2 linked regions of the Arabidopsis thaliana genome follow. The protein of the gene in region 2 interacts with the protein of the main gene of each other region in a pairwise test. Each region holds a gene or a part of one and is shown on either strand. Other genes may lie near its edges.

The links. Proteins that work in one complex are often made in the same cells at the same time.
Region 1: the proteins of AGL55 (region 2) and AGL78 interact in a two-hybrid assay, tested with the Arabidopsis thaliana proteins (one large-scale study listed by BioGRID).

What each region holds. Positions count from the first base shown.
Region 1 is NC_003076.8:26,106,535-26,114,536, reverse strand, and holds AGL78 (AGAMOUS-like 78), read right to left. Parts: upstream 4,212-8,002; coding exon 3,186-4,211; 3' UTR 3,134-3,185; downstream 1-3,133. Other genes in the region: AT5G65340 (MIZU-KUSSEI-like protein (Protein of unknown function, DUF617)), read left to right, coding at 92-853; AT5G65320 (basic helix-loop-helix (bHLH) DNA-binding superfamily protein), read left to right, coding at 5,897-6,295, 6,520-6,921, 7,080-7,169.
Region 2 is NC_003070.9:22,427,617-22,435,128, forward strand, and holds AGL55 (AGAMOUS-like 55), read right to left. Parts: upstream 2,746-7,512; 5' UTR 2,652-2,745; coding exon 2,076-2,651; downstream 1-2,075. Other genes in the region: AT1G60900 (U2 snRNP auxilliary factor, large subunit, splicing factor), read left to right, coding at 53-190; AT1G60913 (Rapid alkalinization factor (RALF) family protein), read right to left, coding at 989-1,228.

The DNA.
Region 1 (8,002 bases), on a different chromosome or scaffold from region 2:
CATGCCCATTTTCTATATATACATCCATGCCACCTAAACCCTAACACACATAAAATTCTCATCCCATTCGTACAACTCCCAAAAAAAAACCATGTCCGCCTTCCCCACAAACCCTTACCGTCGCCGCCTAGCTTCAACCACCACAAGCGCAACGGTAGCCGTAGACTGCCATAAACAAGTTCGTTCATGGCGGCTCCTTCGCACCATCGCCCAACTTCTCATCCCATCTTGTTACTGCACAATCGTCGATCCAAATGATAGTCAAGAAGACAAATTATCTCACCGCCAAATTAAACCAAGAACCTCTTCCGCCTCCTCAACCGCCACAAACTCCACTTTTACCGGAACCATATTCGGTTTCCGTCGTGGCAAAGTAAACTTCTGCATCCAAGCAACAAACTCCAAAACCCTAAACCCAATCATTGTCCTCTTAGAGCTCACTGTCCCTACCGAGGTATTAGCCCGCGAAATGCAAGGAGGCGTGCTCAGGATCGCTCTCGAATCAAACAATAACGACGGATATGATTCACATGAAGATTCTTCCTCTTCACTTCTTACAACACCTTTATGGAACATGTATTGCAACGGTCGGAAAGTTGGATTCGCCATCAAACGAGAGCCTTCGAAGTCTGAGCTAGCTGCGTTGAAGGTGCTTACTCCGGTGGCTGAAGGAGCCGGAGTTGTTAACGGAGAAGAGATAAACCGAGAGAAAAGTGATCATATGATGTACTTAAGAGCGAGTTTCAAACGAGTTTTTGGTTCGTTTGATTCGGAATCTTTCCATCTCGTTGACCCACGTGGGATTATCGGTCAAGAACTAAGTATCTTCTTTTCTAGATCGTCAAAAAGATGATCTTGGATCGTTTTGTGTGTTCTAGCACAAGGATATCAATCGGTGCAATTGGATACTATAATTGGGATTATTTAGAGATTCATCATCATCGGTGGTTTTTTTCTTTCTTTCTTCCTTTTAAAAGGCAAACTTAACCGATTAATGTGTCTCGTAGATTTTTTTAGCAGTGCTTAATTAGATGAAAATGTAATAAGCATAGCTTTTGATGATCTCAACTTTTGTATGCTGTAGTGGTGACCATGTGTTCATGTGTTTCTTATAGTGCAAAGTTTTTTTAATCTTATATATTTGCTTTCTATTATTGTCAATAATTTGGGGAATAAAGTTAATGATTTCTGTTGGCCATCTATACAAATAGAATGTGTGTATATATACACATACAAGCAAATTGCATAGCTAAATTTCAAATATCGTTTATTATTTACAACAGTACTATACTTTACAAACTACTATAACTGTTTTATTTCAAGTATCAAAATGATATAGTAATTCATTTACAAAATACTATTATATATGGGCAGTTTTTTATAAATATAACATAAATCATATTCTTTATTTATTGTTTCAAATGATTATACTTTTGTGTAATTTATTCAAAACACAATTTTTTTTTTGTTGAATGCGAAAACACAATTATGGTTGACGTTGATCAACGAAAAAAAAAATGGGATTGCCTACTTAACTTGTAAATTTCGTGACAATGAAGAAGTTCCGGCTATTGTTTATTGTAACTAGTTTTAATTTGTCGAAATTTTCAACAATAATTAATACTCCATAGTAGATATAAAAAAAATACTCGTACGTGGGGATGAGGTCAACGAGAGTCGAGACTCATCATGGGAGAATAATAAGAGTCCACGCGGCGAATCCATCACTACAAGAACACTAACAACTATCGATTAAAATAATAATTTACATAACACAGAACCAGATAAGTTATTGGTATTATAACATTATTCATTCATTCGTGAGCTTTATACTTTTGCTTAGAGGGAATCAAGAACAGCTAAGACAACCAGCTTGCCACTTTCTCTGTCTCTTTCCAATGTTCTTTTGTTTTTGGCCAAAGAAATAGATCAATACATCACAAAATTCTACTCATTATTTTGGATGATCCGCAAAATATTACATTTTTTTGTAACTTGATAATCGAATTTTGAGAGGAACAAAAAATTTAAGCTATATTGCATAAAACTTGGAATTATTCTTCTTCCTTTTGTTTTGTCAACTAAAACTTGGATTATTCAATCAGGGTGATAACGTAATAATCCTTATAATCTTTAACAAAAAGTAATATAATCTTAGTAGCAAGAAGGAAACATAAAATGATAAATCTGACACCACACCATGTTATGTTTCTTGTTCTTGAGCAGTAACCATTAACCAACCACAATCTCAAAAACACAAACTGAAGTAAATTTAACGCGTCATACATGTCTCTCAATAATGATCGTCTTCGTCTGCATCTTCGGCTTATTGGGTATTACTAATAGGCCTTATTGCAAATAAATGGACTTTAAAAATTAATATTGGGCCGGGCCATAAAAACCTGGTGAAAGGATTGAGTTTTGAGACCAAATTAACCTTGTGGCGAACCAAATCAAATAAAAAACAAAATCGTACCAAATTCCCGGTTATTTTACGCGGTGGTGTTCCTCTCTCGACAGAATCGGAGGTCTTCCGGCGATAAGGTTCGTGGGTTTTGCGTATCGTTTGTTGGGTACTCGCTGGGATTGTTGTTGCTGTTGTAGAATTGGATAATAGTGGGGAGTGCTGGAGCAATGTGATATCGACTTTCTTGATAAAACACAAGGGCTAGTTTAATTGCAGATATTCAATCAGCTCAATCTTTATCTTCTTCCTCATACCATTACTCAGAAACTACACAGAGATTCTTCTTCTGCAAAAAGTCTAGAGGCTTCACGAACTCAGATCCACTCTCCATCTCCTTGTATATATTAGTTGATTCAGACAAGAAGGATACTAAGTTGCAAGAATTAAGGTTTTAAGATTATAATTTGTTTCATGCAAGTTTTTGTGAAAGATTTTTTATGGAAGTTCATATATATATGTCAATACTAACTGAAAAAAGTATCAACTTAAAAGTAAAAACAAAATCTCCACAAATGGATTTGTTTTCTTAACAAAAAAAAAAAACAAATGGATTTGTTTTGCAGTTATAATGACACTATAAAATATTAAAAAAAACAGTAACAGAAGAAATCGGAAGCAGAAACAGCTTCAATCTCTCTCCGATCCGCTTGCTACTTAACTATTGACTGACTCTTAATGAAGCTTCAAAAAAACAAATTCTTTTGGACAGATTTTGTTATCAGAGAAGTCTTGAGTTGCCAGGAAAACAATAACTGCTAGGAATGTTGTGGAGAGGTGGCAGAGAAGATGTCTGTAGCAGACTGCTCGCATCATAGCTTGAAAACATGTCTTGAGAGAAGCTAATGTTACCGACCGCATTACCATAAGGGTTCTGGTTGAAATCAGAAGAGAATTCATGTGGAACCGTGTTTGAGAGATTAGGATGTTGTAGACCGTTGTTGTTGTTGATGATTTCACTCACCATACACATGTTCTGATCAAAACCATGAAGCTGATCCTGTTGCTGCATCAAGTGATTATTCAACCCGTAGTTATTCACTGCAGATGCTTGTACCGAAAGTAACGGTGAGTAGTCTTGTGTGTTTGACACGCCAGGATGTTCAAAGTTGTTGTTGGTGATGTTGTCCGAACACATGTTCTGACCAAAACCATGCTGCATCAAGTGATTCTGGTAATTGATGAGTTGATTGGAGTGTGGAGCAGACAGTGGGAGTTGTGAGAGAGTAGCATCTCCATGGTTGTACATAAACAGCGAGAACTTGCTAGGATTCAAGTGTTGGGTCTGGTTCAGATACGATGGTGTTAAACTCTGATGCACCAAGTTTGTGTTCTGTAGTTTCTGCGCCTCAACAATACGAAGCCTTTCTTGCAGAGTAGAAAGAGTCCGTTCTAAGGACTGAATCAATTGAGAGAGTTGTTGAGGAGAGTAATGATCAAAGTTTGGATACCAATTCTTCTTCAAATTCGTCTTCCCCTTGTCCTTGTCCTTCTCCTTCTCGAGGAACTCATGAAGATTGCGGCTCTTCTTGCGTTTTCTGGCCTCTTTATACCTCAAAGCCATGTCTTTCACTGTCTCTCTCTCCTTAGGCCATGTTCTCAGTTCACCGTCTGGTCCGTAATAGATGACGCAAACCTCAATAGCACAGAGAATCGAAAGCTCTTCAGCTTTCTTGAAGATGGTTTTAAGTCTATTTGTTAAACTTGTTGAATTACGTGACGAAGAAGAAGAAGAAGCTTGCTTCATCGTGACTTTGCCTTGATTCGGCAAGAAACTAGGGTTTTTTCCGAGAGAGAGAACACACGAAGAAGAAGTATTGTCGAATTGAGGGTGAAACATTGTGAACTCAATATGTTTATATAGATGCCTTGGTGCCTACGGGAACAAGCAAACGCGACGCGTCGTTGTTAATCGCGAGGCGTGAAGATCTACGCTCCTACGATTCGATTCGATTTCCAATATCTAATGTAGATTTCCTTAATTAATGTCTCGATGGTAGAGACCAAAAAAAAAGGAAACTTTTAATTAGTTTCTCGATGGTACTTTATTTTAGGCTGTACAAAATTAAGATCTAATTAAAAAAATACTATAGATTTGATTGTGTAATTATTAATTGTGCAACAAAAACTTGGAGGAAAAAGGAAAATCTGTCTCTAAGAAAAAAACTCTTAATTGTTAATTAAGGGTTTTCAAAAAATTGAAGAAAGATTTCAACTCATTTTATTTCTAGGTTTCTTCTATCTTTTTTTTTTTCTTTTTTTTTCAAATTTTTTTTTACGTTATAGTTGTTAATTAAGGGTTTTCAAAAATCTATAAATTGTTTCTCCAATCAGAATGTTGTGAAAAATAACTAACATAAAAACACTCTTCAAATAATTAAAACTAAATGTTCGAAGGGTATATATATACTCACTCTGTTTATTGCAAAATTACCACTGTAAACGCATCACAATTCATATTGTGGAAGATTAATTCTTGTTATATATGTATTAGCTAGTCAAGAAAATACACAATAATTGGGAATGTGGAAGTCGACAAATGTAGTAACCAGCTTGCCTTATTATAGACACAACAATATATATAATAGGGTACAATTAATGTCAGATTGATAACGACGATCCAATAGTGAACCACAAATCACGAATTTTCAACTCACAAATAGACTCGTTTCTTTGTTAGATGAAATGTACCAATCATATAAAACGACATTGTGATTGGCAATCACAAAGAAATATAAATTGTTTATGCCTCATTAAATATATTACTTGAATGGTAAAGTATTAAGATTTGTTTTGCGATCATGAAAGTTAACATTCTTATTTGTTGTGTATATCTCTGAACGTTCTTATTGGATTATGTTATGTGGGATCTGTTGCTGAAGTATCCCTTTAGATTCATTTCATAATCCAATTTTCTTTATTTGATAGTATATTTGATTGCAGTCAATAAATAAATAAACTCCCTATAGATTGTTTTCCATCAATTGTAAGAGTTTTTATTTCTATTTGTAACTGAGGTTTTGAGCAAAAAGTCCATGGTATAAAAAATACCCCTTAGTCAAACATGAGAGATTTCATGACGATATATAAAGCGTAAAATCGGGTAAAATATAAAGTTATAAACTAATTGTTGATCTTAGTATTAAGAATTTATTGCATTCGTTTCTTAATTTATTGCGTAAAATCGGGTTAAAATTAATCAAATGGTTGATCTCTTCAGAGCTAGGGCTTCATTTCTTACATAAACGTCGTGAAAATTTGATTATTAAAGTCCTCCAAAGATTAATAAATTAAAACAAACCAACAAGACCCCATTATAAATACACGCATAAACATTACTTTGTGTAAAAGATAACGTAGCCATTAACTTTTATGCATTAACTCCTTCATTTCTTTTTGTGCTCGTTTGGTTGAGAGAGAGAGAGGCTATATATGATGTTCCAACAAGATTACCCTCATGGCTTTTCACTCGTGGAAACATCCTTAAGTTACGAAATGTTGGATTACTTTCAAAACATCGTCGTTTCGAACTCTGAAGACGTGGCGTCACAGCAAAATTCCATTTCGTCCTCTTCTTATTCATCAGCGACACTCTCCTGCTCCATAACAGAGCAAAAATCTCACTTAACTGAAAAGTTATCTCCTCTACGAGAAAGATATGGTTGCGGTGACTTTCTGTCGCGGAAGAGGAGAAGGAGAAGTGAAAAAACGATTGTAGATAAAGAGAATCAAAGGATGAATCACATTGCCGTCGAGCGTAACCGGAGAAAACAGATGAATCATTTTCTGTCTATCCTCAAGTCTATGATGCCTCTCTCTTATTCTCAACCTGTGAGTTTCTTTCTATCTTTAATTTAGCTTATAGGATATAAGCAGGCTAAGCAATGTTGATAATTTGATATGTTCGGTTAAAATTTAGTTTAGACAAAGAGTGTTAAGGTTCCTTATTAAAAGTAAGCCGTTAATTAAATAATAGTAATTTAGTATATTTGTTTTTGAATCAATTACTAAATAAAATTGCGAATTGATAAATTTTTGGGTTTTTCCTATAATAGAATGACCAAGCATCAATCATAGAAGGGACCATTAGCTATCTGAAGAAGCTAGAACAACGTCTCCAATCTCTCGAAGCCCAATTAAAAGCTACTAAACTCAATCAATCACCAAATATATTTTCCGACTTCTTCATGTTCCCTCAATACTCCACCGCCACTGCCACTGCCACCGCCACTGCCTCCTCATCCTCCTCGAGCCACCACCATCACAAGCGACTAGAGGTGGTTGCTGACGTGGAGGTTACAATGGTAGAAAGACATGCCAACATTAAAGTGTTAACGAAGACACAGCCAAGATTGCTCTTCAAGATTATCAATGAGTTTAACTCTTTAGGTTTAAGTACTCTTCATCTCAACCTCACAACTTCCAAAGACATGTCTCTCTTCACTTTTAGCGTCAAGGTAATCTATTCTCTTCCTCTCTTGTTTTAGGGGAAAAAGATAATATATATGATTATAGAAGTTGTTAGTTAACATAAATTTATATGAAATAACTAAAATAAGGCTTCTTGTTTTAAAAGTCAACTATATATGCTCAAAATGATTGGTCTCTGTATTAGGTAGAGGCAGATTGTCAATTGACGCCTTCTGGTAATGAGGTCGCAAATACGGTGCATGAAGTCGTTAGAAGAGTTCACAAGGAACGTTGAATTTTGTTTACATACTAGCTAACTTTGAAATTCTATTTTATTGTATAAACAATCTCTTATGTGTGTAATTTACATATATACAATTAATTAACATTAAAGTTGTTTAGTTTTTTTTTTTTTTTTGTTGGTTTACTGAGTTAATAACATTGTGTTGACGTCTATTAAATTGAGGATATAAAATACAAGCATGATGAATTGATGAGTATATGTAATCAGTTGAGTTTTAAAAAAATATTTGTGTATTCTTTTATACACTAGTAAAATTTGGTTATATTCAAGAAACATCAGATATTTAATATTATGGAAGAGCTAATTTTAAGCGCAATATAATAAGATTCACACGATGGGCCTTCTCATTACAAGAAATGGGCCTTTGAAACATATCTCGTATTTAGATCAGTAAAACCGGACGCGGATGCGATTCAATTTTGCATAACCGGATCATTGTTCCTCGAGATTACTGAAAGCTCGTGTAGATTACGAAATACGAACGAGCCTCGTCTACAATTAAACGCTAGTATCGGTGACCGAAACATCTGAAAAAGCATGCCTTCATTGAGCGGCCCAACTTACAAAATTTCTCTAGTTTACATTATTCGGATGGGGTAAATGTCATTTTGAAATCAAAATTTCATAAGAAATCATGTAGCATAATAGTTTGATAAAAGTTTATGGTAGTGTTGTTGATGTGTGATATTATGGTTTAAATTTGACACATGTTTTTGAGTAATAATATTTGGTGGATTTTTAAAAAGCATTGGATAAAGGTGTTTGGTAATGTGACCTTTTTACCTGTTTAGCTACATATTTAAATAGATATTTTATATAAGGGG
Region 2 (7,512 bases):
GTCTACCAAATTCATATATAAATTGCATACTCTAATGGTAATACTAATGCAGGTTTTCTTAGAGTATGCGGATGTGGATGGCTCATCAAAGGCCAGATCGGGGATGAATGGAAGAAAATTTGGAGGAAACCAAGTAGTGGCTGTGTATTACCCCGAAGACAAGTATGCCCAAGGCGACTACGAAGACTGAGCTATCTATCGTCTTCTTCTTAAGCTTTTAGTTTGGATCTCTTAGCAACAAGTTTGGTTCTTTTTTATTTTTAAGTTTTTTACATGTTTAGTTCTCTCTCTACTAAATGGAGAAATTTGTCTAGAATCTGACTGCAATAGTACTTGTCCAGGCACAATCAATTAAGGTGTGTGTTGGTAATAGTAGCTTTTGGTTTCATTGAACACTAACCAAACCACATCAGTTTATATTATTGTTCTTTTAAAAACTAAAAGACCAAACCACATCAGTTTCTAAATGCAATGCTGGAACATGTGCAATTGCTCTCACTAAACGTGAAATACTGGATTTATATTAGAAAAGTAAGATAGTAGGCAAGTAGCACCAGTGGTCTAGTGGTAGAATAGTACCCTGCCACGGTACAGACCCGGGTTCAATTCCCGGCTGGTGCATTTGAGCGTTGATGAAATTTGCTTTAAGCTAAGGTTGGGTCCTTAGCAATTCTCCGATGAATCGGATAATATAGCCTCATATCTGAGCTCATTTGTTTTTTATTTTATTTTACAACGAAAGTTACATGTCATGCTTTCACAAGACACATCTCATGTTACACGAACTTGAAGTTATGCCTGATAACACATTAATTTATAATTTATTAAAATATATATAACAATAATTTGAAGTTAAAAAAAATGAAAGAATTTTAAAATAATTAAAATTTGATAATGTAACAAGTTCCATATCACATCAATAATGTAGATTAGTGATAAATTTTTTTTCATATTTAGTAGAAAATGATTTGTATATATGAATACATAATTAAATATGATACTTTTCACGATAACAATGTGTAGTGTTTTGACAACCAGGAGGAAGATGGTACTGGTTGACTGGAACTCTGACACAATTTTTGGGATCTTGAGTGCAGTCTGGAACTCTATCTTTTGCAATAGCTCTATATTTTATGTATCTTCCTTCTCCGAATCCGCTGAACAATGATAATACAATCACTATTGACACAAAGAAAAGACTAGTAAGACTCATTTTGTGTGCAGCCATTGTTTAGAAACCGAAAAATGATGTATTTAATCTTCTTGGTCTTTTTCTTTGTTGTTGTATTTTGCAGTTTGAGTTGGTGATTATTGGTTTTTTTTTTTTTTTTAATTTATAACAAGAGAGATGATTCTAAATACAGAAGGCCAGTGCATAATATGTGTGCATAAGGAACTTAGTGGATCTTATATTTCAATTTTGTTTCATTAGGAGGAATTTATGTTTCTTTCATTTTCTTTTTGGTATGAAATCTCTAGAGATAATTCTTTTCGTTTGTTCTGTTTGGTATGAAATCTCTAGAGATAAGAATAGTTACATGTCTTAGAATGAAACATTCCCTGCGATCTAATGGATAAGTTTATGGATAGGTTTAGTTACGATTATAGCAGCAATAATATATGGGAAAACTAGCTTCATGGACACAGAGACCAGCACTCATCTTCAAAAGAACACAACATGAGTTTCTCAAATCCTCTTTCTCTATCTCCAGTGGAATTACACACTACTGTACCAAGCCACCACGAGGCCGAGACAGAGCCAACAGAGTTCGAGAAGAATCAGAAACGGTACAAAGACCTAATCGCCACCTTTCTTCATACCAAAGGCTGGACAACTGACTTGTTTGCTAATAAAATCGACAATGAACCTTTCTTTTGTTATTTAATTAAATGTATTTCAGTCTCAATCAAACTGAACAAAATTTTGGTTTTATATTAGTAGCTTTTTTTTTTCCCAAACCAAAACACCGAAAAAATCCAAAAAATAATAATGCACAGCTAGATTAGATAATAGCCTAAATAAACAAGACATGATGATTAAGTAAGTTGGTTAAATCAAAGGATCAATGTTGAAATCAGTAATAACGATCATCAATGTGTAGATTATCCACTACGTTCTTTAACAAACTTGCAGAAGCGGAAGTTTCACCTTCGAGTTTGGTAATTTGATTTGTGTCTTTGTAGCCAAGCTGAAGAACCTCCTCATCCTCCTGATGAATCACTAAACTTCCATCTCTTTGATTGCTCTTCACGGCATCATCTAATCGTAGCCTCACATTGTTCAACATCCTCGAAACCGCATCGACTGCCTCTTTCAACTCGTCGACGTTCTCCAATCTGTCAAAGGCTTGGTCTTCCCACCAAAACCCTAACCCTGATCTGTTATCTTGGTTTGTGGGAAGAGATGGATGCTGATTGTGAAGGAGAGAGGAGACAACGTGATCGACAGAGGAATGACCGAAAGAGTAGAAAGAAGCATGGGAGTGGGAAGAAAGAGGAGTTGCTAAGATTGCGATTTGAGTCCCCGGAGAGAGGAGACAGAGCTCTGAAGCTTTGTGGAAGAGTCCGCTTTTGCGTTTTGTGAAAGCAACTGCTCTCACGTTCTTATCTTCGATTCTCTTCATCTCTATCTTTCTTTTTGTGCCTCCCATATTGAAACTTCAAAGGAAGAAAGCCAAATTACAGACAGAGATTGTTTGAAACTTGTAGAAAGCTAATTACACAGAAAGACAGAGATTGTTTTCATCGTCCTCTCTTTATACTAGTGTACTCTCTTCCCATATCTCAACTTTTTACATTATTGATTCATTCTCTATTAAGAAAATTTCCATAATGGGTTGTTTCCTTTTGTTTTTTTTTGGCAAAGGGGTTGTTTCCTAAGATTACCTTTTTTTGGAACTATTTTGGTAAAATACATAAGAGTACTACTCTTTTCTACTTGTTTTTCCTTTTTTTATGTTCACATTCTCTCATATGCCAAAACCCTAACCTTAGAGACGGTTTCTTGCGCGACAAGAGACACTCTATATCGTCTCTTTCCTCTGTTTGTCGAGTGGCTAAGATGCGATTATGGACAGAGGAGTCGTTGAAACTAATATTTGGTAGAGGTTATTAAATAGTTCGCAGTGGAGACATTTAGGGGTCGTGAATTGAGATTATAAGATAACCCATTGAAACTAGGGTTTTGCAATTACACAAATTTAAATATGAGGAAAATTTGACACGTGATACCGAAAGGATGATTTGAATTGCATGAGTATATAAATAGTTGCAGAATATGACATATTAACAATAGTTCATGGGACATGGTGGATTAGGTGTAAAGGTTTATTTAACCTAACCCTAAATCACACCCCGGTATGGGCAAATATGTTGCTTGACAGATGGTATTGAATTACTATTTTTGCAAATGTAAATGATTTCTATAGCTTCTTAATTTTTTAGTTTGTTTGGGTCCTTTAAAGTTTATGAACGTGTTATTTTTTGTTCTTCACTACCTTTTTGTGAGACTGACTCGCACTCCAATCGGGATCATCATCTTCTGCTACATTCGGATTAACGTTCTCGTCTCTTCTCCTCTTCCCTGAACCGGGACGGGTTTTGTAGTGGTCGTTGATGGTTGAATCTATGGTTTCCAATAACCGATCTCCGTATTTGCTCACCTTGGCTCTGTTTAGAGTTTAAAACACCAAAATCCCCCGAGTTTTCTTCATACCTTTGGTTATACAAAGAGAGAGAGTAGCGTTCAAAAAGCTTCAAGATACTTACTTTCCTAGACCATTGATATCAAGGAGTTCCTCTTTGGTTCTGGGAAGTCGTTTACTTATCTCTTTAAGCGTCGCATTGCTATAAACACACAAGGATTTTTCTATTACTTATGATCTGAGAAAGAAACTGAAAATATCATTAAATGGATCGTCAACTTACCCGAATATATGATATGCCATGACTAAATCTGGCGATTCTTTGACAATATCAGTCCGAAGATTTTTCAAGGCTGTCAACAAAATGCCGGAGAGATTCTAGACCGACATTGAGAAAAAATAAGCAGCCTTTAGCAATTTAGAGTGGTGGTTTTTAATCTTTGAGCAATAGATAGAAACAAGGATACAAGAAGATATACCGAATCTTGTGGGGCAGCTTTTGCCATTGGAAGGGTAGTTTGCTTAAGTGGAACTTTTGCTGGATTTGCTGTGGATTTGCTCTGCTTTGACACTTTTATGGTCGAAGGAAATCTGTAAGAGATATGCAAGTCTTAGCTAAAACTAACCTTTTTCAAAACGAATAAACATATAACCAACTCTATTAGCTCGCTCAAGAATATAGAACTACTGAAGAGCAGCAATAACATTGCAGTAAGAACAGGTAGATTTCAGAACATTTCCCAACGTTTGAGCTACTAATGACATCAATTTGGTTGCAAGTAGTTTATGTGAACATAAAAGAAAGATATATCTCGAGTGTAAAGTCAAACCTCATTGTTATACTCTGGCCTCCAGATAAGAGCGAGGCGGCCTTTGATCTGTTCACCTATACAAAAAGATAGATAAATAGATGTCACCTGTGTACACGCACACATTCATTCTTAAGCATAAATTAACCAGAGAGAAAAGCGCAAAAAGCAATATGTTACCAGAAACAAACCCCCAGCAACAATGATACATATCCACAAAGATCTCTTTTACAACATCAAATATAGTAAAAACCGATATAAGAATTATTTGTACCTTCAGCAATGACGATACAGATCCATACAGTTCACTTTTTTTAACACCCTCTGCGAGAATATCCTCTGTCACAAGGTAGTGCAAAATACGAGAGGCTTCACTTTTAGTTAAATGCTTTCCTGCTCCGTGGAGGTGCAAAGTGTCTTGTCTGTTTCTCTTGACCTAATCAAAAGCCAATTACTTGCAAGTGAGTGACACTGGTAGGATATGGGCTTGAAGATACCAGCGAAGTAAAGTAAACATGTTTTGTGAGACATAAATGGTTACCAGATTCTGGAAATAGAATAAATATAAGTGTTAGTTGTGCATACCGACTGGTTTAAGGATCCCCTGTAGATTTCTACAATATGAGCTGACGAAAATCTTTCTCCTGTTAGCTTAACCAGTGCCACCTATCCAGGCACAAAAGATTGAGGTACGTCACTGGTACAACATCCAGCAGGTAAAGTAATGATGAACTTCAGATGAATCCTATACCAGTTGCCTTGCAATCACAGTTACATCTTTGTCAATCAAAATTTTGCTGCTGGAACAATTATCACATGTGTTTTTGCAGTTTGTCGAATCAAATTTTTCTCCCAAATGAACTAGCTGTAAGAAACGTCGACAATCCACCTCATTTTCACAGTAACTAACCTGAAGCAGCAAAATATGGAAATATATCTCAGCAAGTAGAGTTCGAACTTTGAAAGCAAACACAGAGAATCTTGCCAATAGGTACCATGCGGAGAAGGTTTTCCGTGTTCGTTTCGAGCATCCTCCCTGAACTTGCTTTGCAATTATATCCCATTTTCATCTGGCCTTGGCCAAGTCCTCCTTGGCTAATCATATGCTTCACTCGAATCTGAAAAGATGTATTTTTTAACCACAAACATGACCAAGAGCGTAGGTATTCCCCCTGAGTTGTAACTTGATATTGTGATTTATGCAACTTACATAATCAGTGTAACTGTAATACAAAACACATGATGACCTCTGGCCGTCTCTACCAGCACGACCACATTCCTTGTATGAGAAAAAATACATCTTTTCAGTTTACTAGGATATTTATAAATCAGTTTACTAGGATATTTATAATTCAGTGTTCAAATAAAACACCTGATGATAGCCTTCTATGGACTTTGGTAGAGAATGATGAATTACAAAACGAACATCAGGCTTATTGATTCCTGAAATATCAACGTTAGCAGGCAGCAAACTTCAATCAATCAAAGTGGCTATAACAGAGACCATTAATTACCCATTCCAAATGCCACTGTAGCACATATTATATTGATTTCATCCTTGCTCCATTGTTTCTGTACAAAGGCACGTTTACCAGGATCCATACTGCCATGGTAGAAGGCCGCTTTATGGCCAAACACCTGAAATTGGAACATAACAAATGTGGTACGCTCACAATATGTAAAAACCTCCATTTAAACAGATACGAGAAAGGCCAACAAACGACTAACCCGCAATGCTTCCGTGACTTTTTCGCAGTCCATTCTTGAAAGACAATAAATGATGCCACATTCATCAAAATGGTTTTCCCGGATAAACTTGTCAATATCTTCCAAACACTTATTTGTCTTGGGAACAACAGAATACCTGCAAATTTTTTGGTAAGCAACATTCTGAAAGCAGCATTCTTTTAAGCTATTTTCAGTACATTACCATAGATTAGGGCGATTAAAACTTTGCCGGAAAACAACACAGTTTACCAGCCCGAGAGCTTGTACAACATCTTCTTTCACGCTGGTTGTTGCAGTAGCTGTCAAAGCTAACATGGGAATGTTTGGAAACTTCTGCTTCAGAACACCAAGACCCTGCATATTGCAGCATTGTTTTAAGAGATAAAAAAGGGAGCTTGTGTTTCTTAAAAACAGAAGTGTATAAGCAATGTCTGTTTTAAGCTTTACAGACGCTTCACCTGGTAGTCAGGTCGAAAGTCATGCCCCCACTGACTCACACAATGAGCTTCATCAATAACAAATCGAGCAAGCAAACTACGGGAGTTTAAGATTTCGAGGTGCCTTAAAAGGGATTCACTTCTGTAGTCAAGAAAGAGAAGCTTATCAGCTTGATGATGTTACTGGTAATGATGGGATGGGACAGAATTGCAATACTTACATTCCTAGAACTATAAGATGTAAGACTTTGGTTCAATTCTATCGAGAAACTATTGCAAGTATCTAATGTAATAATAATTTTCAACACCAGATAGTATAGTTTAACCCAGAAATATCTAGTAGCAGGGGAGAATCTGATGGGAGTTGAGCCCAAATTAAGCCTACAAAGGCTCTAGTCACCAGTCACAACAAAAGATAGCTTGGGTATGAATGTTCTTAGGCCTTATAAGGCTTTAATTTGTTCCACTCCTATCCGATGGGCATTTTTTGAATACCCACATTCTTCTCAGAATCAACAACTAAAGAAAATAATGACTCACTTTGCCACTTTTTCTGGTGTTACATACAGTAACTTGTATTTAGACTTCTCAGAGCTCAGCTCCTGAAGTATCTCTAGTTGTTCAGCCCATTCCATTCCGGCACTTAAGGAAGCAGCAGATATATTGGTCTATAGCCATGTTTCAGAAACCAAAGTGTTAATCGGGACAAATTTTCTGAGTACAACATAGAAATGAAACTAAAGACAGAAACAACATTCTGTTGCTAAAGTTCTCACCTGCAATAAGTTCATTATCTGGTCTTGAATGAGTGAAACAAGTGGAGAAATGACTAATGTTATTCCTGCACAGAGTAGAGCAGGGAGCTGCAGAGAAAAAGATATTATGAAGACGTTT